Linked DNA regions of Arabidopsis thaliana. The protein of the gene in region 1 interacts with the protein of each later gene in a pairwise test. Each region holds a gene or a part of one and is shown on either strand. Other genes may lie near its edges. The genes, in order: RGS1, SRS6, AT3G62920 and APX6.

Region 1 (7,188 bases):
AGTTTTAAACAAAGATAGAATGAAGATATTAAGATTGAGATATAAGAATGAAAAGGAAATAACATTATCACAACTAATTTGTAGCATTTTCGAAAATTTATTCATAATAGTCTTGGAACAGAAAATAGATGTAATTACTATTTAGAGAATTCCCCATAAGCTAAACAATTTAACCAAAAAAATATATTGAAATTAACTAATTTGGTGAAAGATAAACTGATAAAGATTCCTTTTAGTTTTATAAACTATCTTGGAGAGAACATCGACAACACCCAATAATTGCTACCCATATATATACCAAAACCATATGGTAGACAGCCAAAAATAAAATAAAAAAAACTTCTTTGGGAAATAATATTTATTTATGGTGAGATGAGAACCACTAATATTTGGGAAAGATTCACCATAATAATGAAACATTAATTTAAACTTTTTTTTCATTCGCTGACAAGACTTCTTACCTACACATATAAGTTTTATTTTTTGAACATTTAATTTTTATATGTTAACAGCAGAATAAATCTGGCTAAGTTACTGAATTTAGGGTTTAATTGACATTTCTTGCAGAATTTTACTGAATAATTTAGAGCTTAAATGGTAACAGATGATTTTTTTTTTTAAAAACTTACCTAAAGACATTTTATTGCTGCTCAACAATATTTAATTTTATATTTTATAGATATTTAAAACTTTTAATATCATTTAATCATATGATAAACCTAAAAAATTCTTCAACTTTCTCTTTTCAGTAACAAATTATATTCTAAAATTGAAATATTTGATGACCATCCCACCTTCTCGTTATAGATGTTGTACACGTCAAAATATAGTGGTGGAAAAAAACATTATGTCAAAATGTTGATGAAAAGCCTTAGCGAGGCCAATGGATATGTCATCACATCATGAAACATGTGATGCAACATCATCACTCTGCAAGGACATGAAGATCAATCTGCAGGTGCTTTTTTATTCTTGGTGAAACAGATGGCATATACGTATAAATTCTTCGAGATATTAATTAGTATGGTTCCATAGTTTTTGTCCGGTATACACATTTAAAACTAAACCAAAATCCGAACCGGACATTTTCTCTTACAGTTAGGTATAACAAGAGAGAAAATGACATGTACAAGAAATGTGAAGGAAGATTACATGGATTGGATTGCTATGAACATTGGTTTGGGTTCTGGTCTAGTACCAGTTTTAGACTCCTTAACCGGGACTACTGCATCTGGAACTCTTTGACATATGTTCTTGATAGAAAGGATCATCAGAGCCTTGAACTGAACTCAGTCTTGGAGATGAAAAACTGTATCCTTCCTTATGCATTGCCTCGTGGCAGCTTTCTTCTTCTTTGAACTTGATGAAGTAGATGGATGACCAGTAATCTCTTACCAAGTTCTTCAAATTCATGAGCACAAAAAAATGAGAATCAAGAGAATAGCTTGAAGGCGTGCGTAAGAGAGTGAAAGAGAGATGTTATTTTACCATCTTGATCAATTGCATGACTTCGTTTAATGCGTTCTTGAAGAGATCAGTGTGAGTTAGATCTTGAGTGGTTAAGATCTCTTGTCGGGTTTTATGAGATAAGTTCAATTCCATTTCCGCTCCTGTGTTTTAAGGAATTACTAGTTAGATTTATAGAGAGAACACACGAGACAGGTCTATAAAGAAGAGGGAAGATGGATATGTAATTAACCTGCGACGATGAACTTCTCCATGATATGTCGAGCCATGTAGATTCTTCTTATCGAATCATCTTCCGGGATTTTACCATGTTCATACACCTCTTCAAAAAAATGCAATGTTTCTCCAGCGTAGCAGCTACCAGCATATAACGAATTAGTTTAAATAAATGGTGAAACCGGGATATATATGAGGTCAGGTATTGAATGGAGTACCTATCAGCAAATTCCATAAACGAATGGCGAAATCTTTTATTGAGAAGAAGCTTATCGAGTGGCTCGTTTGGGTCAACAGGTCGAAACTCCTCCTTCCGAAATAATAATCCGCTATCGGGAATGCCTAGAGCTTGACCCATTCTTTGAAACTCAAAGTTTTGTCTTTTCTTCAAGCTGATTTGTGAAAGAAGAGGTTGGTTACTCGAGATGGAAAAGAAGACAACGACGAGAATCCCACCCTGAAAGAAGAATCAACTCAGAAGTCTGTTAAAAAGGTATTCCAACTGCAAATATAAAGAACAGTCCTGGTATTAGCTTTCATACCGTGACTAAAAGCACAAATCTTGAAGCAACCTGAAGCCAAGAGATTTCTTCATGAATCTCATTCAACACAAACGCTGTTACCCATATAACGATTGAAGTGGCTGAGACGAGAATTCCTTTCCAGAGATCTCTAAGCTCGTCAAAACGAAACTCTACATGTCGAACTGCTCTTGTGAATGCAATTAAAGCAAGGACATAGAGAGCATGAAGGCCTGCAACTGGGAAAGTCCATTGAAGACCCATGTGGCATTTATCGTTGAGAGGCTTTGTTGCGTGGATAACTAAATGCAAAATCAAAAGCTTTGAGTTATTATTATCCAAAACAAGAGAAACCAAGAACTGCTCAGTACATATAACGTTCAGAACAATTCTTACTTGCAGCTCCGAAGATCCATGGCAACAAAACAAGGGGGAGGAAAATGTATGATTTTACCGGAGGTAGACGTTTCCTACATTGCAAAGAATATGTAACAACCAAACAGCATTAAACTCAATTACACCAATAGAGATAGAATTGGAATCCAAAAACATTTTGATCAACATTGAACCTCACTTGACAAATATGAAGTATAGTTGAAATGCCTGAGTTATACGGCAGCTCATCAACAAACCAAACCCAAGTGGTCCTTCAATCCACACTGAAACCAAATTATACAAGACTTATTGATATAACTGTCAATTTGTTTACGAAGATGAGGAATCATGGTTTCCAAACAAACCTGCCCAAAGATAGCAATATCGCCACCAATGTTTCGTCCTGAATCGAAGCAAATTAACTGACATCTGAAAATTAAATATAAAACAGTCTATTAGTGTAGAAACTCAACAAATGAAGTGATTCTTAAGAGCAACGGAATCATCAAGTCAAGTAGTCTAACCATAATTGAGAAGAGAAGGTTGAAGCTGGAGATAACTTGAATAACAGGGATCCAGAAACTGCTACTGTTAGTACGAGGAGCCTTATGAATCAAACACGGTAACACTGAGCGCGATAACAGCCTAAATAAACAAAGTGAAATCCATCAGATAGAATCAACTTAATAGAGAAATTGAACTACTTGGAAGTTAACTCATGATACAAATCCACTCAATTAGTCCATTAAATCAAGCTTTTGAACTTCAAATCTAAGTTCAATAATCGATTCCGACATAATATATGAATCTTGCTATCAAGATACTGAAACCATCTAATTCCCAGCTAAAAGAAACTGAAACGAAACAAAAGACAGATCTTTTGATACATAACATCAAACACTTACAATACAAAGAGTTAAAATAGCAAAGAGAGACATCGTATGAAAATTTTAAACGATTAAAGACACAAAATTCGAGATTTTGACTCAAGTCAAGAGTCAACAAGCAAACCCAGTAAATGAAAAATCTAGATCTTCAAAACTAAAACCCAAAAATGGGATTTTTAAGCTCGAACACATACACGAAGAAGCAGATGACTGAAATTGCGACGGCGACGTAATCGCTGGGACAACCACCATGTAGAGCACATCCACTCGCCATTTCTATTGTAGCATATCAGCTCTCTCTTCTCCACTCGCTTTCTGGGTTTTTGAGATTTTATTTGGTTTCAAAGCTTGTTGCTTTAATGTCAAGGTAAAGTGTGCAAATTTCTATAAATTCAATAAAAGAAACTTCATTTATCGATGTTGAAACAAAAAGCTTTAAAAGATTCACACTTTCGCATAAGAGAAGAGACGTCTCTGTCTCTTCATTGTTCACGTTTCTCTCTTCTTCTCTGACTTTTTTGACCAGAAGACACTTCCTTTTTCCGGTAACAATTCTGATTGGTTTTTCACTTTTCACTTCTATAATTATAGATTTTTCATACTTGTCCTTTGTGACAAGTTGGTACATTAAAATTACAATAACCACCCTCTATTATAGATTTTTGACATAACCACCCTATACTATTGAGAGATTTCACAAACCCACCCATTAAAATTGTATACTTTTTTAATTCAACCCTGTTGTAAATTTTGTTTATTTCACTCCAATGACTTGATCTTGGAACTATATCGCCACAACAGACCTCCCACCAAATTGTTGAGTGCGTGCGAGGCCATTGGAACGATAAGACTCGACGACAAAACAGCTGCATAACCGTAGACTATACCGACAATCGAAGCCCTGAAAATTTCAAGAAACCGCAAAGAATTCAATAGGAAAACCTCGGAAATGTGATAGAGAGATGCAAGAACATGTTAAAGGCAATCATCTAATATCAAGATTCGGTCTACGCAATTCTCATCAGCATTGAGGTACCAAAATGTTCAGTAAAAACGGCTTACCAAACTGCAAAAGAATACTTTCTTCCGCTCCCGAGATGAAGTAAACCGAAAATGAGGCCAACCGCTACAATACCATTCCAATTAGTTCCGAACAAAGGCATTAATGCACCTCTAAACAGCAGCTCCTGTGAATACACCAAATCAAACCAATGAACGACATTTTCTAAAGGAGAGCCTTTCTGTGTTTTATTGTGATTGTTTATTGTTACCTCACTTATTCCCGGTAACATTGCAACAACAAGGTAATCTAGAGGTTCGAGGGAAGTGAGAATCTGCAAGTAGTGAATACCAAAGGAGACAATAAGCGGAGTTTAAAGAATCGTATAAATGTATATAATGTGTAATGTTTTGACCTGTCGGTTTGCTGCTTCACTAGAATCAGCAAAATCTGGCCAAGATTTAAGTAGCAAGAACCTACTTGACGATATAAACACAACGATTCCAGCAATTAAACCGAGATGCCAAGTTTCAAACCCAACTGCAAGAAAGATCATGCAATACAAAACATGTTTTGGTTACTGAATCTCTCAAAGGATTCTTAGTACACAACATAATCGTTTTCCGAGATGTTACATGGTACATCTATAGAGCAGTCTGGAACCAGTAATCCTTCAGTCGAAGCAACATGAGACGCCTGCAAGCGGTAACCAAATCAGCAAGATACAAATGCTAGAATCACAAAATCATAAACTTTCAGATTTGGGATTCACCTTTCTGATGATCAGACCTAGTGCAGCCATCAAACCGGAAGTTACAGTGCAAGCCTGAAGCACTTTGTCTCGAGGAGCAGCAACAAAAACATCAATGGAGTCCTTTGAAGTTGAAGAATCAACTTGAGCTTCCTCAAATCTTGGAGAAGAAACTTCTTCATCTGTAACATTTCTTAAGCCTATGTCTTTACCTTGTTGTGACTCTCTTTTGAGTTTCTTAAGTGATTTACGACTTGAAGAGGCTCTTACATCAAACTTAAAACCCAAAAGACAAAATAAACAGACTATAGTATAAGAGATCATCTGTTCGGACCAAGAAGCGGCAACATTAAAGAATCTTACTTGTACTCTTCGAGCATCATATAGCTTAGGGTTCGAGCCAACTGATCATCAAGTAAGCAAATTTCAACCAAAAATCTTTGTCGAATTCTCATATATATGATCATATCAAGTTAGGAATCGCACTTACCTACCTGGACGAAAAAGGAGATGAAGAGAAGTTGAAGCTCCTCTGCTCCAAGATTGCAGAGCGATGGAACCCATCCGAGATTTTCGCCTGCCTTCTCAAAGTTTGTCGCTTTGATTCATAAGAGAGACTCTGTTTCCAATATAAAACAAATGAAGAGTTTCACGAAGAAGAAAGCGTCGAAATGAGAGGTCTGTGTCTCGCCAGCTTCATACGGCGTCGTTTATCAGAGAAAACGCACCAAGAAAGAAGAAGAAATGAAACCAAATTTTTATTGTAACATATTTCAAAAGAAGAGGACATGAGTCCTTTTCTGATTTTCTGTACCGAATTCAAAGTTTAGAGCTTTTTTAATCTAATGTGGTGCAATGTCGATCAAAACAAGTTGAATCATTGACAAAAGCTAGTCTCTTTTTATTCTCTCTTATTAGATTTTTACATACATGATGAATAGAGAGACAGAACAAGCGATTTTAAGTATGTATGATAGCTCGAAACTATTTTTTTCGATAGATCAGAGAGGGATTCGATAAGTGGGATCAAACATCTTCAATATAAACAACAAGTTGCCTTTGCCCCTTGATATCCTGTAAAAAATGAACATTGTTTCAAGATTCAAATGTTTTTGGTTGTCAGTTCCATAGAGAAATGAAAAACTATCATTCACTACTGACCGTAGTTCCTCGTCCACATAGGTAATCTCTAGTTCACCGCGTGCAGTACCATCAGGTGCTTTTACCGGAATCTGCACACAGCAAACACTAATGATCAGTAAAAGAAGCATATGGTGTATGTATGAGTCAGTACTACCAGTTTCCCTTATAACAGCAAGAGTTTTGGTAATACTTACAAAGCCGAGAATTTTAAACACTTGAAGTTTCACAGCAACCGTCTTCGAGTTGAGGGGTGTCAAGTCTCCAGTTACCTATGAAAACATTGTAGTTTGCTAAGTCTCATTTTACAAACTCTGCTGAAAGAATATTGATGATAAAAACTTTGGTATTAGTCCTCCTTTGTTCTTGCCTAGTGAGTCACAATGGAACATGATCATACATATATGTGACAAAGTCTCAAACTTTCGTACATTTTGAATATTATATAGCAATGGATCACATCAATAGGTTTCAACATCACAGAGAAAAGAGCTTTGTATATGGTCTAACACAACGCAAAATCGCAAAACCTACTTGTGAAAATGGTACAAAAAGAGAATTCAGTCGCGGTTTGAAATATTACCGAGTTATAGAAAGGCCAAGTCTCCATTCTTTGCACCTTTAGTGTATCCATATTGATACATTGGTAGTTAGTTAACGATCTTAAGAACCTTGGTTTCTGTTACATTCTCAAGGAGACAGAGAAAATTACACAACAAGCCAAAAACAAACAACAACACAAGTTTCAAAGATTACAAGTTCTAACCTTTGCTTGCAAAATCGCAGCAGATGTTGTGTAAATGAGCTCCCATTTCCCATTGATCAAATCAG
Region 2 (5,693 bases), about 11 Mb from region 1:
AACTGTTTAATATTTGTCAGGACTTAATGAAGATGTAATGTTTAGACTTTGGTGTATTTTGTACGACATGCATGATATAATAAAGGAATTATCATAATTAAATTGAACTTATAAAAATATGACTTGCCTTACTTCTCTTTTGAAATAGAAATTCTAATGTAGGTAAAATGTTTGTGTTTACATAATTACATTACATCAACAAACGTAAAAAAATGTTTGTGTCATTAAATGTTTATCCACGTACTCTTCACAACGATCATAAGTCATAATTCAGAAAATTCCTTTAATAAATGTGAACTGAATAAGCTTTTGTATAGTCATCAAATAAAAAGTCAACTGTACAATTAAAAGTCCGCAAACATCTCGATCGTCTAAGAGACGACTTTTCTCGTAACTTTATGAAGAATATACAATAGTAGTGGCTTGATCGCGTCCACACATTTACATTGCGACTTTTCTTGCATGCCGTCTCACGCACTATATTTAGGCAAAACACAATTGTCTTCATTTCAAGACTAGTTCTTGTTTTCTCCATATTCCTCAACAACATCAAAATGTTGACTCCCACCATTTCTAAATCCATCTCTTTAGTAACCATTCTATTAGTTCTACAAGCTTTCTCTAACACAACAAAGGCTCAAAATTGCGGTTGTTCGTCAGAGCTATGTTGTAGTCAGTTTGGCTTTTGCGGTAACACTTCAGACTATTGTGGTGTAGGTTGCCAACAAGGACCTTGTTTTGCTCCTCCCCCTGCAAATGGTGTCTCTGTGGCTGAGATTGTAACGCAAGAATTCTTCAATGGAATCATCAGTCAAGCCGCGTCTAGTTGCGCCGGCAATAGATTTTACAGTCGGGGAGCTTTTCTTGAGGCCTTAGACTCATATTCTCGTTTCGGTAGAGTTGGATCGACCGACGACTCTAGGCGTGAGATTGCAGCGTTCTTTGCTCATGTCACACATGAAACAGGACGTAAGTATATATAGTAACATGTTTCACTTTACTCTTTTCTTATGATGCATACATGCATGTTCTCTATTAAATACCAAACAAAAACAAAATATGAAAACGTTAGAACTTGTTTTTGTTTTCTAAAAATCATTAGACTAAATAACATGTTTTACTAGATTAGTAATATCTTTTCATCAAACGCATATAGCATAATCACTTTTCAAAATCATAGAAACTTGACTAGAAATACTTTGAATATGTTGCAGCATTCGATCTAATAATTTCGGTTTTTGTTTTAGATTTCTGCTACATAGAAGAGATAGACGGAGCCTCAAAGGATTACTGCGACGAGAATGCAACACAATATCCATGCAATCCTAACAAAGGCTACTACGGCCGCGGACCGATCCAACTCTCTTGGAATTTCAACTACGGGCCAGCCGGGACAGCAATTGGTTTCGACGGCCTGAATGCACCGGAAACAGTAGCCACGGATCCAGTCATATCCTTCAAAACCGCCTTGTGGTACTGGACCAATAGGGTTCAGCCTGTTATCTCTCAAGGTTTTGGTGCAACAATCCGTGCCATTAACGGTGCTTTGGAGTGTGACGGGGCCAACACAGCCACCGTTCAAGCTAGAGTTCGTTACTACACGGATTATTGTCGTCAACTTGGCGTTGATCCTGGAAACAACCTCACTTGCTAACAAAAACATCTATTTCTCTGTATACATATATAAAAGTAAAAATAGACAAGCTTTAAGAATGGAATGGCCCATTAATGTTTTGTCCCTTAATGTCGAATATATATAAAATCCACTTAGTTAAAAAAAGACAAAAACTTTGAGATGAAAACAGAGAAACTTTATACACAGAATCCTATGAAGTAGTTTCCATCATTTTTGAGAAAGACATGGAAAAGCTTTGTTATGATCAACACCATAGTAATGAAGAAAGCCTTTGAAGATATGACCACTTATAGTTACTGTTGCTTGATAACCAATCTCTGCTTGCTCGTTGTTGCTTATCGCTGTTACTCTCGTCCGTTTAAAAACCGCCGGAGCTTCAATTTTCCCCGGTAACCCCTCTCTGAAGCCTCTCTCTGCAATTTTCCACACAAAAACGCAAAATTCAGATTAAAAAAGGTTTTGTTCAATTCTAGTTCCAAGATTCATTACCTTGACGAGAAGTGGTTGTCGGAAGTAGCGAGACATTAGGGGAACTCTGTTTATCGATTTTGAGCTTCTTCTTCCTCTCAGAAGGAGAAGATGAAGAACGAGTTGCAGAAGAAGGAATCCACGTGCTCTTCACGTGAGTGACACAGTTGTATCCTCTGCTTTTACAACAAGTTCTACATCTTTCGAACAAACACTCTTTCTTTGCTCTGTTTCCACAGTCTCTGCATACTTTCTCTCCAACTGTGTTGTTGTCTTCCACCGCCGCGAAGTTTACCGGAGGAAGAGATGGCCGTGTTATCTGCGTCGGTGGTGGAGATAAGAGAATGATGTTTCGAAGACCTAACATGTAGTCTGGAGTAGTACTGATTCCAACGGCGGCGACGGAGGAGGAAGAGTGATCAGGTGGGATTGAGACGGCGGCGAAAGGTGTTGAAGATGATGATGGTTGTGGTGGCCATGAGAGGGAAGAAGGTGGATTTGCCACTGTGGCAGTAGTAATAATAAAAGCGCGTGGAGGCTAATCTAGTAGGTGGAGCTTAGCTATGGAGGAGTCTAGTAAGAGTAGTGAGAAACAGAGAGAGAGAGCAATAAACATAAGTTTTTTAATATTTGGGGTTTTGACAGAGTTTTGTGGTCACATGTAATGGTTAAAAATGTTCTGCAGAAAATGAAATAATTATCTTTCCAAGTGGAGTGGTCCACTTCATTGGGAAAGCACCCGTCTAAAACGGCTTTATATCCCACTTTGTGGGTCTCCTCTCTATGTGCTTAAGCTTTGATGGGATAGATTTCTTAAGAGGTTTATTTGGTATGGATTGCTTGTAACAACTACACTAGAACAGAGGCTATATCACAAGAAGATTTTGAATCGAATGTTTTAGTTTATTAGGTTTTTTTTTTTTCATTTGAGAAATCAAACTTAGAAACATTGCAAGACTCACTAAGTCTAGTTGTTTATAGCATTCAACTTATATGCAAGAACAGATTTCTAGCAGGGGAGTTGATCCTTGTAGATGTTCAAACCCGAGGTGGATGCAGTAATTGGGCATAGCCTGAGAGAAAACGAATACTGTGCAGGCGGAATCAGAAACTTATCGTGAACACATGGAGTCCAGCTATCATCTCCCCCAAGACCCATGTGTTTGTGGTCCAGATGCACCTGCACAATGATCACCATTCAAATGACAAAGACTTAACTAACAAAATGACAACTGATGCTCAGGTGTTTGATAAGTCGTTTCCATTCTTGAATTCAAATATATCTGGTCAAGAGGATCAAGAGATTGAGGAAAAGACAATAGATTACTACCTCGATGTTTTGTCCTTTGATAAGATCCTCTTCATGCGTTGCACGGTGAAGCTCACCGGTTGTATAATAACTAGCATTCATTTGCATTAGAGAAGAGCTACCATATGTTGAAGCATATATTCCTACACCATCTTTGTTTCGGAATGTTACCCACCTAACATCTGTTCTACCTCCATTTTCTCCTGGAACAATATAAGGGACATGCATGTCTCCAACATTGTGTTCATATATCGCCACATGGGCTGCTGCTTTTCGGTCTGGGTAACACTCAAATGGACCTTTGCCATACCATTCTACACGGTCCAGTGTTTTTTCAATGTGGAATTCTATACCTACACGTGGTAGCGGTGGAAGATCAGAGTTTGGTTCTACAAACCAATTGGTGATGATATCTCCGGAACCATAGATCAGATATGTCACATTGACTTTGAATAAGGCATCTGACTTTGAAGAGCCAGAAGCTGAAGAACCAAGGTAAATGAACTCTATCTCTACGGATTTATCAGTGATGCTCTTTACTGAACAGCTTTCAACAAGGAACTCCACATTATCTAACTGTGCCGCTTTCCACCTCGAAAAATAACTAGAGTCACCTCCACCTTTATCATTGTCTGTAGGTGCTCGCCAAAAGCATGGCAGTATAGCTTCGTTCATAAGGAGAACTCCTTGAATCTGTCATTTTTGAAATGATCTTAAGAACAGAAACATTCTCACTCAAGATGAAAAAGTGTACGCATTACTTTCACTAAAACATCAACCAAGAAAAGATCTTCAATATCGAATCTATTTTTTAGTTTTATGTTTTGCACTTTTCTCTTTCATTGCCTAGCTAGTTATATACCTTTTTCCTATGGTAGTATTTTCTTTGCAACAACTATGTACTCAGTATACCCCCAATGCGTTAATATAAATCAGGAAAGTGGTTACAACCGGTTATATCAAACTTTAGATCCCAACAGGATCGTTTACTTGAGTAACTAACCTATATGCCTACAATATGTAAGACTTCTTCCCTATAATTTTTATGCATTACGAAATTGTTTTAGAGCTTCGCAATCAAGAAATAAAACAGAAAAGAACTTACCTTCCAACCTTCAATAGTCCCTTTTCGGACATTTACCATTAGCTCCCATGAATCTTTCTGGCTGATCTTAATGAAATCTCCAACAGTTTCACAAGTGATACTAGTGTCTGTCTTTTTTATCGCCTAGAGTAGGAGGTTACTTACAATTGTCAGGAATTCATATTTTCTAGCAGAACGACGAGAGATCTTTCCAAAAGAAATATGACTTGTAGAGGATGTGGGAAATACCTGCGGTATTATTTGTCCCTTTGCTGGTAAAGGAATCTGCGTTGAAGACAAAAGATGACCGGCTTCAAGCGAACGAGTAAGATTTAAAAGCTTGGCATTTATTGTCAGAAACAATTCTCCAGCATTTGAGTCATTCCAGAAAGAAAACCATGGACCTGACTTCCACTCCATCTCAAAACTATTTTGTGGCTTTATCACAGGAATAGAGAGAGTCCCAGATCCAAGTTCAAGACCATCCCCATGAATTGTCCAGCTAAACTCCAATTCTTCTGTTGTGTTGAAAAAGTAAGTGTTTGCAACCTGCAAAGATAAAGTTTGAGCTACATAGATGGTATTAAAACCAAAGCCAACTGAGTTGATGTATATTAAATTGTACCTTTATCATGCCATCCGTCAATGAAACCTTGATTGGTTGGTAACAATGCTTAACCTCTTAAACAACGCAAAGACATGGTGCAAACAGAAGAAAATTAGTGCCATTTGAACATGTATCATGGTCAAGTAGTCAGAAAAAGGGAAACATATGTGATACTTTTTAGATTTATGTTCCTTAACTTCAATTTCTTGATTTAGGAAAATATTTAGAATTTCCATTTCTTGACTAGTTTTTTTTTTTAACTAGAATACTTTTTATTAGGTACTGGCATAAGTAAGGATGAGATTTCGTCTGTGATTCTCATCCAGGGTAGAGAGAGAGCGTTGGAGGTTATCGGTTCTCTTTTCAATCGAGAGAAAAGCTTTTTAAGCTTTCTTATCGGCTTTGCCAAGAGAAACGTTTCTAACAGATTTTGGTGATATAGTTCTAATTTGTTTCTATTTCAATAAAGAAGAGTTTTTTATTTTCTTTCGTGATTCTTAAACTCTACCAGTTGGTCCGACCTAACAACGGACAAATGCCAAAAGGTATGACTACTACTCGAACAGAGAGAAGTTTGGAAGCGTTAGAG
Region 3 (4,840 bases), about 14 Mb from region 1:
CTAGAGATCTGAAAGGGAATATAACAAACACAAGTTGTTCCTCCCGAATCTTGAGATTTTAGCACCAAAAGAAGAAAATGATGACGAATCTATGCTTATTATCACCCATAAATTTTGCTAATTCAATTGACACATGGCCTTATCACGAATCTGCCAAAGATTCTTCATTTCTGTAGATTTCCAAATCTGGTGTCAGAATCATGCTTTCCTGTTTAAATCTGCTAAAATTTTGTATTTTTGGAAAGTTGAAAATGCAATGAACATGGATTCTCTTTCTCGTGTTCAATGCAACAACAACTACAAAGACTCTTAAGAGTCAAGACCAACAACTCTCACATTTAGATAAAAAAACTTGAAAATGGTTTTGACAAAGTGTAAAAGCTAAAGTAAGAACTGTGTTGGATCACTTACTTGCTCTCTAGACTCCAGGTCACACAAGCAGAAAAGTATCTCAAAGACGATCCTCTTTTTGTTTGTTTTTCTTGCTTTCCGTTTCTTTAGAGCCTGAAACTTGTGGGGAATCTATTGTTGCTTGAAAAGATAAGCATCTAACTGGATAAACCATAATCCAATCTCCACCTCAGTGGATGCATCAAAAGCAAAAGATTTTGCCAAAAAAAGAAAAGCACCATAGAGTAGACATGATCACACTGTTGCATACCTCCCTGGATCCGTGGATCATTACAAACCATATGACAAGGATATTTCCGTAATTAGAAAAGAAAAGTTTACATGAACTGTATATGCAACTTGGTTCTGATGTTCATGCAGTTTTTAGAGAACGCCAAAGGGCACATCACTAGTATGGAAGTAAAGTAGTGACAAAGATCTGATTTATGCAACGTTACCATCCTCCACGTATCCAACTCTATAAATAGGCCTACTTTGTAATTTGTATAGCATCAAAGCAAAAACAAACATAAAGATCCTTGAGTTCCCACTCACATAGTCACACTACATTTGTATCACATTTATATACATAGAAATGGAAAGCGTTAGAAGTTTAGTTGAAGACAAACCAGTGGTGATATTCAGCAAAAGCTCTTGCTGCATGAGCCACTCAATTCAAACACTGATCTCAGGGTTTGGGGCAAAGATGACGGTCTACGAGCTAGACCAATTCTCAAACGGTCAGGAGATCGAGAAGGCATTGGTACAGATGGGGTGTAAACCCAGTGTACCAGCTGTGTTCATAGGGCAACAATTCATCGGTGGTGCTAACCAAGTAATGACTCTTCAGGTCAAGAACCAGCTAGCCGCAATGCTAAGAAGAGCCGGAGCCATATGGGTGTAACAGAAGACAAGAGAGTCAAATGCAAACTAGGATAGAATAAGATGAGAATGATACATATCGTTGTTTTGCTTCTTCTTTAATTTTCGGGGTTTCGAGTATCTACCATGCACGGATATGTTTTCAACAAGTGCAACACTATAGTTTACACAACTCTAGAGCTAATTAAGATCAAGAACTTTGTATTCTCAGTTACCATACTTGTTAAATCAACCAATATAAGCTAAGAAGACTAATAAGCAATAAAAGAGAAAGATTTGCTTTTCCATTGATACCTAAAGATTGTTCAACAAAATGAAAGGCCTTTTATTTATCATCAGCCATGAGAAAAGAAGAAACAAACAAAAGTAGAGATTTTCACTAACTTCTTCACTTGTAAATGTAATCTTTTAAAAGGCCATTTGCATGCTCGACCTCAGAATGTCTTCGCCAACTATCAACAGCTCTAGAAACTGTAGCTTTTGCTTCCCGAATCTCTTGAGCCGAGAACTTGTGCTCTATGATTCCCAAAGGTCCAGGTTGCAGAACATTGATCACAGTTTCAGCTTCTTTCTCAAGCTGCCTGTACAAAATGAAACCTTAGAATTTCAACATAAACACACACACAAAAAACAAATCTTTTATTGTGTAATCTCTTGTCATACGGAGAAATACGATGCAAGCATTAACCAACCTAAAAAGCTCTAGATTGGATACAAATTGAATTCTTTTTATCAGTCAATTCTTCAATAGTAACGCAGTAATACAATGAAGAGAAGAAAACAATGGAGAAACCTTAAGATCCCGGAGAAGGGTAAAGCTCTAGCGATCCTGTAAATCGACATCGTCGCCGGAGGAAGAGAAGAAATTGAGTACCGCGATTCAATTGATTTATTATTTAACAAAAACTCAACTTCGCGACGAATCAGTTTTGACTTCACATATATTGGGCCATAGGCCCATAGAGTTACTAGCAGGTGTAAGTTACACCGTGTAACCGAGAATGTAAATTAGTATGGGCTAAAGGCCCAATAAATAAAAGGGTTTCTTCTATAATTGGCGAGGATAGTTTTGTCCTAATAGCCAAACACGTCTCATCATCTAAACTAGGCTTCCTTATCCAGCAACTCCCGCGCCACTCGTCTTCTTCCACCTCTCTCTCTAGAGTCTAGACAATGAATAGCTCGATGACGACGAGTCCAACGGCTCGAGCCTTCCTTCATCTTCACTCGTCACCATTCACTTTACGTTCGAGAAAGTCACCGTCTGGAGTTTGTCTAGTCTCGTGGCCGCCTTCTCGGTCTCGCAGGACTCGACGACTCGTTTGTATGGCCGTAAGTGATTCTAGTTCTCCCAATGTTGGATTTTTTTTTCAAAAGTTTCAGAATTGTTCGATGATTTTGTCTGTTGAAACATTTAGGAACCTTACCTCATTAGGAAAATGGAGTCTGTTGAGAAGACATGGAAGGAGTTATCGGTTTGTTCCTACACTTATTCCATTAATGGTTAAGGTTTGTTTCTTAATCTCATTCTTAAGAGTTTTGAATGATTTGTAGGTGAAACTAGCTGACCCAGATGTTGTTTCGAATCAATCTGAATACCAAAAACTGGCACAATCCATGTCGGAGCTTGACGAGGTATTTGCACATTCTTTTAGTGTTCAAAATTTGCAGCTTTTTTCGGGGTTTCTTAACATTGAATTCAATTTTAGGTTGTAACAGTCTTCAGAAGATTCAAGGACTGTGAGAAGCAGTTACTAGAAAGCAAAGGTCCCTTCAAGTCTCCTCCTTTCTTTTACTTTGCTTTGATTCTGTTCCTCGGAAGCTGGTTATGATTTACTGATTGGTTTATTGCTTCAGTTTTGGCGAAAGAGGCTGGAGATGATGAAGATATGGCTGAAATGATAGGAAGTGAAATCAACTCGCTCACTAAAGAAATTGAGGAGCTTGAAAAACAACTTAAGGTTTAGAGCCTTGGTTCCATAGCTGACTTATTCGGCAGCTGAAAATCGAATGTTGCTCATTTTAAAAATTTGATTCTGATACTCAACTCGTAACATTGTGTTGGCTTGTGTCAGGTGTTACTTCTTCCTTCCGATCCTCTTGATGCCAGAAACATTTTGCTTGAAGGTAACTGACTAAACTATATGTCGACAAGTAGTATCATTTGTCTACACTGGCCTTTTTTCTTGAAAAACTGCCTTTTGCTCGGACTTCCCGCCATTGTTTTACCTATCTACCTCTGGACGAGTCTGAAATCTTAGTTCCTTCCGCAGTTAGAGCAGGAACTGGTGGCGATGAAGCTGCAATTTGGACTGGTGACCTTGTAGGTACATGCTTTCCTTGATTTCTTCTGATCCTCTATCTGATTTTAATGCCTTCCGATAGTTCACCGTTTTGTTTCAGTCTTATTTCTTAAAAAACTTTCAAATTTTATTGTTCCTATATTTCATGGCTAAGAGAAGCAAGTGCAATAATTAAAAACTTCAGATCCTACCATGAATCAGTATGCTTTGCATTATTCTTTTGCTTGCAGGTGCGGATGTATCAGAGGTACAGCGAGCGCAGCTCTTGGAAGTTTTCAATGGTTTCATGCTCAGAGGTGAGATGCTCTCTGTGTTTTGTTTTGGCATTTAAGGAGTGTGTAATGAAAATGGCAGTAGAGCATAACAACTTAGAGACATGTTCTCACCAGTATAGCTTTTTAATCTTCCTACTTTTATAAGGCTGAACATGGAGGTTACAAGACGTGTGTGATGGAGATTAAAGGAAATCGTGTCTATAGCAAGCTCAAGTATGAATCTGGTGTTCATCGAGTCCAGCGTGTTCCTCAAACAGAAACACAGGGTCGTGTACACACTTCTACAGCAACTGTAGCCATCATGCCAGAGGTAAACTAGCTTTCGCATGTTCCATTTTTCGATATTCTGATTGATAATTGGTAACCAGTCCAAAACTGTCATCTCTGCTTTGTTTTTTTTGTCATTTTAGGCTGATGAAGTGGAAGTGGTGATTGACCCAAAGGACATTGAACTTACATCTGCAAGATCTGGCGGCGCTGGAGGTTATGCTAAAGAAATTCGCTTTCTGTTTCTCTCACATTTCACTTGCTAATAATACTGAAAAGAGGTCTTGGTGCAGGCCAAAATGTGAACAAGGTGGAGACGGCTATAGATCTATTCCACAAACCGTCAGGTATTCGCATTTTCTGTACAGAAGAAAGGACCCAGATTAGGAATAAGGCGCGTGCTTTCCAGCTTCTGCGAGCAAAACTGTAAGCAACATTCAAGGAGCAAACTCTCTACTCTTCTTCTCCTCTATCAAGTCCCACCTTAGTCTTTTTTTGTTGAAACATTATATGTCTATATATAGGTATGAAATAAAAGTAAGGGAACAACAAGAGAAGATAAGGAATGAAAGGAAATCTCAGGTCCACTTCATTTTATTATCCCCATAGTCTTTCTAAACTCAAGGTCATCATCAAATATTCATCTTATTCTGCTCTATGTCGATTCTTGCGGAAACAGGTTGGGACTGGAGCTCGTTCAGAAAAGATAAGAACATACAATTA
Region 4 (6,665 bases), on another chromosome or scaffold:
TTTACGACAAAAAAAAAAAAAAAAACCTCAAATTTTAGTGAGATTTATTTCGTAAGAATATCATAAGTCATTTTTTCATCATCGTCGACAACTCCTCACACATGCATTATTTTTGGAAAAAGGTAAAGTAGCGACACTATTACAAGTCAATAAACTACTCAGTTCGGTTGTGTGATAACACCATAACTGTACATGAATGTGTATATGAACTTGTTATAAATATTAATACTATCCATCATTGATTTGAATTATAAAATATTGTATCCATATGTAATAAACCGTAAAATATAAGTAAAATACAAAGCATTAGACAAAATAAGTATCCTACCATGCATGTTCCCAACTAGTTAAGTTTGATGGGTTTTCTATTGAAATTTATATAATTGAAGTAACTACAATTTCCTTTACTAGAAAAGTGGTAACAGCTAAAAAAGGTATGATTATCTTGATTAGCACTGAGAGAGATAGAGTGATTAGAGAGTAAGCAAAGTCAGATTAGACACAAAAACCACTTTTATTAAGAGACAAGTTGGTCCAGCGATTAGGGTAAGATAGAGGTACCAAGTACAACAGTGACACCTTTCCTTTCTTGCTGCTTCTCAAAACTTTCTCCCTCCATCATCTCTATCTAATCCCAAAATTTCATTATCTTATCTTTTTATTTTCATACATTTTTACTCCATTTGTGCTTCCTTTTCCTTTTGTTTCTAACTCAGCATTTTCTTTCTAAATTTTTTTAAATGATTTATTATTGGGATTAACAATTGGAAAACCTTTTTTCATAAAACTGATATATCCTAATAATGTTTTCATAAATAATTTAAATTAGTAAATTGTTAATTAGAATTATAGTTTTAATAACAAATAAGTATTGTAAAATGATTATACTACTTTAGTTATCAATGAATTTTTTCAGATCAATTTTTTTTTTTTTAATTCCATGAATCTTTTTGAGTATCAATTCTTAATTGTTCATTTTTCCATTATTTTATTTTTTGGAACTTTCGCATACATGTAGTAGTAGTAGTATCTCAACGTGGTATGGCAATAGTCGCAACACCTTGAGACTTGGATTTCTATACATTGTGAAGTATGGTAGCAGTTTTTATTATAGATTTTGCTTTTATGTTGGTCGGTGTGTATCCTTGTTGGAAGATTCGCTTCACCATTCACATATCAAATTTTATCTTATCCAATTGAATGCGATTGTACTACTCTTTGATCACGATGTATTTTAAATAATAAGAGATAATGACTAGTAGCCAAAAAAAATAGGTTGTTAGACAAAACACACATGTTAATATCTCTTTTGACATAGAAACGGCATATTCCTATAAAAACTACATCTACCTACGACGATTCGTACATGACCTATTCCTTTTCTTCGTGTCTAATTACTACATGAACAAAACATAAATTGTAAAATCTACTCGACCTAACTTATAAATAACTGCTTAAACGACATAAATCGTAGCGGTTTTAGCGTCTCGTTAAAAGTCAAAACGTCCGACTGCTGAATAAAATTCAAACACTGAAGACTAGAATCGTCATCGTTTTAGTTTTGTAAAGTCAAATCAAACACCGAATTTATTATTCGGTGTGGCATAGAAGTAAGTTGGTGTCAAGTTTGAGTATCTTTTATGTTTAGTTTCGTAGTAGTAAACTAGTAAGCAGCGAAATTTTTACTTATTAGCAAATAAGCATTACTACCCAAATTATTCGGGCATGTTTGAAACACTTATGAGCTAACAAAATATAAAACTAGATTAGATATCATAACATATTCCATTTGGCCCCAGAATTTACTAGTTTGATATAAGCATTTGTGAAGTCTTCGAAGAACTTGTCTTGGTCTTCTGCATACCGTTTCACCCACCTGTGCATCATCAAACCACGAATCTATATCAGTTGAATAGTTATCCAGATTACTCAAATGGCAAGAACAGTGATCAACAGTTTACAGTCTTGCCAATGATCCTATACTCTCTAAGTGTTCATCTACTTTGAATGGTACTTGAGAGAAAAATAGGTGATGAAATGATAAGGTAAGAACTTTGAGTAGATGAGAAACCTTAAGCACTCATCATCCTGCACTAAAGCATGATCCGAAGGAAGCCCGACCATGCTCGTCATCTTAGCTACAGCATTGTAAGAAAACTAAGTAAATATACAATCTCAGTCTTACAATCAATCTTCAGAACATAGGGAGGAATGGTAGAAAACTGAAACTCTATGAGTAAAAGAACTTAAGAACCTTGTTATGACTTATGAGACTTACAAGTTGACGTCCATGGTTTTTCAAGAAGGATTTTGTAGTATGCATTGTCAAAAACTGTCGGATCTCCAAAGCCTTTACTCCCAATCGTATGTGCCCCAGATAAGGCAACAAGCTCCTGGGTCCTGGAATGGCACACAAACCCAGTGATGTTAAGTTACTCATACACATACATTGTGAAACAATTCTCAGCTAAGGACTCACGAAAATCCTTTTCTTTTGAAGCATTCTTTCAATCCCGAGGCACTCAGGGTTTCTGGAGGTAGCTTGCCTTCTGGATCAGGTTGCCTGTGAACATGAAACAATCACCCTGTTAAAAGTATAGAAACAGTGACCAGAGATCTATCCAATAGGATTAAAAACCGTTTATGTTGTGCTTACGCTGAATCAAGTCTTCCCAAAACTACTGGAATTGTTGGGCCGCCACATATTGAAACTGCTTCAGACCCAGCGACAGAGATCATATCCGCCCAAGACACTGAGATCACATAAAATGTGAAATTAGCACAAAGGCGCATAACAGAACACGTTTCTTTGGTGCACACAGTTCAAATAGTAATTTACCTGGTTGTATCTCGTCAACCTTAACCTTTGCTTTCGCTAGAACCTAACAAAGAATCCATTTTCTACGAAGATTACTTATTTGAAAATAAGACAAATCTGATAAACAAGTGCAAATAGACACAAAAAAGAGCAGTTAAAATAGATGCGAAAATTACATCCTTATTAGCTCACGCCAACAGATAAAAGAGAGGGATTTAGTGCCTTTAAGGATTTCTTCAAACCTATGTTCTCAGGTCTCTCAAGTTCATAAGCAATAGATCCGTTGATGCCACCTGCAATTGAATTCATTACCAAGAAGAACTAAGACATAGTTACAGTATCTTTCAATGAGAACAAAGGAAAATACCAGCAGAAGTATACTAAATCGCAAAGACCTGAACCTAAACCAACCAAGCTTGGTTCATCAAAGCCAAAACTGAGGTATATTAAATTGTAAAATGATAAGAACATCCTGAGAGAGCCACTGAACAAACCAGTTCTCACAATACTTGATAGTCTATTAAACTAAGCCAATAAACATTCACAAGCTACCCAAAACATCCAAAAATTCACAGATTCCATTCTAAACATAAATCTAACAAACAATTTTTACATTTGCAAACTTGTCTATCACCAACCAGTGAACAAATAAAGGAACTTTCAAATCTATATCCATGTTCACCTATGTTGAGTTTACAATGAAGGAAACAATCTAACTTATACAAAATAGCAACTTGACAAACGAGTCAGATATACTATACTTGAAAGTAAAATTCTGATGATTACAGAATACATAAGAGTCATGGAAAGTTACCAGAATGATCGTCCAGTTCAAAGGTTCCAGCATCATGAAACACTAAACGAAGCACACCAGCAGCCTTGCCCTTTGTCACCACTTTCCTTATTTCGTTTTGCATCACCGGATAAATCCTGAAAATCCAACTATCAATTTAGTACAAAAAAATTGGAAAACTATAATTTGAACAAAAACCAAATTCAGAGTCAATTACACAAAATTAAGGATTTGTTCAAACTCACTCAGCTGCGTTCCCGTTTTGCGGAAGCATATGAGACAGAAGCTGCACCGTCGACAACAAGACTACCATTTTCCTTCTACTTGCAACGAAAACATGACTCGAACCTACAAATTATGCAATTAGCCAGGACAAGTCGAAGAAAACGAAAACAGTAAAATAGCAATGGCCAACGAAACCAGAATCCGGTCTTACCAGGATCATCGGATAAGCAACGAATACGCCAGGCTCTTGACGATCTGACAACATGTTTCTCGGTCGCCGGAGAGAGCAATCGCGTTTTCGCGGGAGATTCGAATTTGCATTTGAATTTGAAAGATGAAAACGAGTCGCACCGAAACAGAAAAGTCTTAACCAGAGAAGCAGTCGTCGTCGTCATCTTTAACGGTGGGACGAGAGTCTCCGAGACCCTAGCTCAAATTTATGAACCGGGAGTTTCATTGTCTACCCACAAGCGTACAGTAAGCAAAACATTATAGCCAATAGGAACGTAGGATAGAGAGAAGGAAGACCACGGCACGCATTCCGAATGTAAAACGACATGGAGTTCTGTGACAGTTAAGAAAAACGACGGGTAATCTATGAAATAATTGATCTCGGAACGTTACAAAACTGAGTGATGGCTATTCTTTTAAGATGTAACACAAAAACAATATACAACAAAACATGGTGAGCCAAAAACCTATTATATAAGATACTAAAAATTGGCTAAAAAGATTGCTATCTCGGACCGGAGAGTCTCACGGCGGAGAGATAATTCTCACTGTTACAATCGGACGGTCCAGATGACGTAGTAGCACCGCCGTCCTCGCTGATGGACTTAAAGAAGCTTGAGTAAAGTCTCGATCCCATAGTGGAAGAACTAGGTGGCTGGACCACCGGAAAAACACCTTCAAGCATTTGAACAACTTTGCTCATCGAGGGTCTCGTTTGCATATCTTCTTGTATACACCAAAGTGCGGTTTTCATAGCCCTTTGAACCCTTTCGTCAGTCACATCAACATTCTTCATCTTCCCATCGACAATATCCATAAGCTTCCCTTCTTCCATCTTCTTGAAAGCAAAAGAAGGAAAATGGCATTTCTCCGAAGTTTCTGATGGATCATAGTTCTTTCTTCCTCCTATTAACTCTAGCAACACCATTCCGTAGCTGTAAACATCACTCTTCTCTGATATCGCATAGTTTGTGATCCATTCTGGAGCCAAGTAGCCTCTTGTCCCGCGCATTGTTGTGAAGACATGGCTTTGTTCGCGGGTCATGAGCTTCGCCAGTCCGAAATCGGATACCTTGGCATTGAAGTTATCGTCTAATAGGATGTTCTCGGGTTTTATATCGCAGTGAACAATCCTTGCATCACAATCTTCATGTAGATACGCTAAACCTTTGGCTGTTCCGAGTGCTATGTTAAATCTTGTGTCCCAATCTAGAAGAACATCGCCATCCTTTTTCCTAAATATCCATCTCTCCAACGAACCTTTGGATAAGAACTCGTATGCGAGCAGCCTATGAGCCCCTTCTGCGCAGAATCCTCTTAGCCGCACCAAGTGCAGATGATGAATACTTCCGATTATACTAACCTCGGCTCTGAATTCTTTCTTCCCTTGACCGATTCCTTCAAGTTTCTTCACAGCTAGACGAGAACCATCTGGTAAAGTACCTTCATAGACCGATCCAAACCCTCCTTGACCTAACTTCACCGAGAAGTTATTCGTCGCTGACTGAAGATCTTTGTAAGCGAACCGAATAGGCATCCCGGATAAGTTCTCCAAGAAGTTATCTTCTTCTGAACTCTCTTGAGGAGCCTCCAAAATCATTTTCTTTCTCTTATGAATCCGGAAGGCCACAAAGATCAAAACAGCGATGATAAAAACTGTTACCACGACAATAATCACTACATAAGGAAAATGTTTCCCATCATCTTCTCCGTTATCTCCACCTCCAGAACCAGTACTTGCGATCTTGATGTAAGACACAAACCCAGAGCCTCCATTGCCAGAGGTTTTAAAGCTTCCAATATAATCAAACAAGAAGCAATTACCAGAACTGTTCTGGAAGAAAAGACCAAGGCACGAGCAATTGTTGTGGCAGAACTCTTTACAGCTATCAAGATCAGTTTTCTTGGAGAACGGAGGAGCATACCCAAGAGCGAAATAGTCTACACCGTCTCCAGCACTTACTAGCTGCAAAGGCAATGTTGCATTATCCTTGGTTTTCTTACAGGGAGAAGTAATCCCGGTTTTGCAATCAGACCGAGCCCGAGACAACCCGGACACACATCCACACACTTTAGAACCCGAGCAGACATAGTAAGGCCCGCAAGGCTCAGGTGTTCCGCACAGATCGCTAGGTATTTTAGTCGAAGAATCGGCAGCAGATGCTCCGCTTCCAAGATTAGAAAAAGAGATCACACCGTTGTTTCCCAAAACAGCGATCCAAGTTGTGTTATCATCTTTATTGTCTGAGAATACAAACTGCCACAACAAAACCTGTTTCTGATCAAAGAACCGCCATGAATTCCCAAGGAGAGACGATGAAGTCACTACGCCGCCATCTTTGTTGATGATCCTCTCTCTGGCATTTGCCATTGACCAATACACTTGAGGGGTTAAGCTGTTAACAGATAAAACCATATCTCCTGATTTGATCTCAAGGGCATAAGTCATGTTGCTCGAAGAAGGACTGCTAGTGAGCTTCATGCCTTCTTTGAAAGCTTGATTCGTGATCAGAGTATCTGTCGGATGATCAAAACTCTCCCAGATCGAAGTTCCGTCAACGGAAACAACAACGAGATTCCCGGAGTCACGCAGCTCGA

The links.
Region 2: the proteins of RGS1 (region 1) and SRS6 interact in a two-hybrid assay, tested with the Arabidopsis thaliana proteins (one large-scale study listed by BioGRID).
Region 3: the proteins of RGS1 (region 1) and AT3G62920 interact in a two-hybrid assay, tested with the Arabidopsis thaliana proteins (one large-scale study listed by BioGRID).
Region 4: the proteins of RGS1 (region 1) and APX6 interact in a two-hybrid assay, tested with the Arabidopsis thaliana proteins (one large-scale study listed by BioGRID).

What each region holds. Positions count from the first base shown.
Region 1 is NC_003074.8:9,529,435-9,536,622, reverse strand, and holds RGS1 (REGULATOR OF G-PROTEIN SIGNALING 1), read right to left. Parts: upstream 4,011-7,188; 5' UTR 3,741-4,010; coding exon 3,661-3,740; intron 3,225-3,660; coding exon 3,104-3,224; intron 3,009-3,103; coding exon 2,945-3,008; intron 2,864-2,944; coding exon 2,779-2,863; intron 2,675-2,778; coding exon 2,601-2,674; intron 2,507-2,600; coding exon 2,226-2,506; intron 2,141-2,225; coding exon 1,902-2,140; intron 1,825-1,901; coding exon 1,700-1,824; intron 1,611-1,699; coding exon 1,489-1,610; coding exon of another isoform or gene 1,480-1,488; exon of another isoform or gene 1,464-1,479; intron 1,402-1,463; coding exon 1,213-1,401; 3' UTR 994-1,212; downstream 1-993. Other genes in the region: AT3G26085 (CAAX amino terminal protease family protein), read right to left, coding at 4,226-4,367, 4,529-4,653, 4,738-4,800, 4,882-5,006, 5,102-5,162, 5,239-5,621, 5,712-5,781; AT3G26080 (plastid-lipid associated protein PAP / fibrillin family protein), read right to left, coding at 6,219-6,449, 6,555-6,629, 6,941-7,036, 7,124-7,188.
Region 2 is NC_003074.8:20,145,381-20,151,073, forward strand, and holds SRS6 (SHI-related sequence 6), read right to left. Parts: upstream 2,842-5,693; 5' UTR 2,472-2,841; coding exon 2,126-2,471; exon of another isoform or gene 2,050-2,125; coding exon 1,844-2,049; 3' UTR 1,655-1,843; coding exon of another isoform or gene 1,248-1,654; 3' UTR 1,246-1,247; downstream 1-1,245. Other genes in the region: EP3 (homolog of carrot EP3-3 chitinase), read left to right, coding at 555-969, 1,248-1,654; AT3G54440 (glycoside hydrolase family 2 protein), read right to left, coding at 3,114-3,284, 3,435-4,106, 4,519-4,641, 4,747-5,046, 5,123-5,178. UniProt on the Arabidopsis thaliana protein: Transcription activator that binds DNA on 5'-ACTCTAC-3' and promotes auxin homeostasis-regulating gene expression (e.g. YUC genes), as well as genes affecting stamen development, cell expansion and timing of flowering.
Region 3 is NC_003074.8:23,257,992-23,262,831, reverse strand, and holds AT3G62920 (zinc metalloproteinase aureolysin), read right to left. Parts: upstream 2,236-4,840; 5' UTR 2,116-2,235; coding exon 2,066-2,115; intron 1,854-2,065; coding exon 1,661-1,853; 3' UTR 1,535-1,660; downstream 1-1,534. Other genes in the region: AT3G62930 (Thioredoxin superfamily protein), read left to right, coding at 986-1,294; APG3 (Peptide chain release factor 1), read left to right, coding at 2,446-2,604, 2,691-2,747, 2,827-2,907, 2,982-3,039, 3,130-3,233, 3,348-3,399, 3,546-3,595, 3,806-3,871 and 5 more.
Region 4 is NC_003075.7:15,600,343-15,607,007, reverse strand, and holds APX6 (ascorbate peroxidase 6), read right to left. Parts: upstream 4,288-6,665; 5' UTR 4,232-4,287; coding exon 4,048-4,231; intron 3,960-4,047; coding exon 3,857-3,959; intron 3,749-3,856; coding exon 3,633-3,748; intron 3,112-3,632; coding exon 3,041-3,111; intron 2,883-3,040; coding exon 2,840-2,882; intron 2,754-2,839; coding exon 2,657-2,753; intron 2,564-2,656; coding exon 2,480-2,563; intron 2,401-2,479; coding exon 2,279-2,400; intron 2,139-2,278; coding exon 2,072-2,138; intron 1,877-2,071; coding exon 1,774-1,876; 3' UTR 1,608-1,773; downstream 1-1,607. Other genes in the region: SD2-5 (S-domain-2 5), read right to left, coding at 4,573-6,665. UniProt on the Arabidopsis thaliana protein: Plays a key role in hydrogen peroxide removal.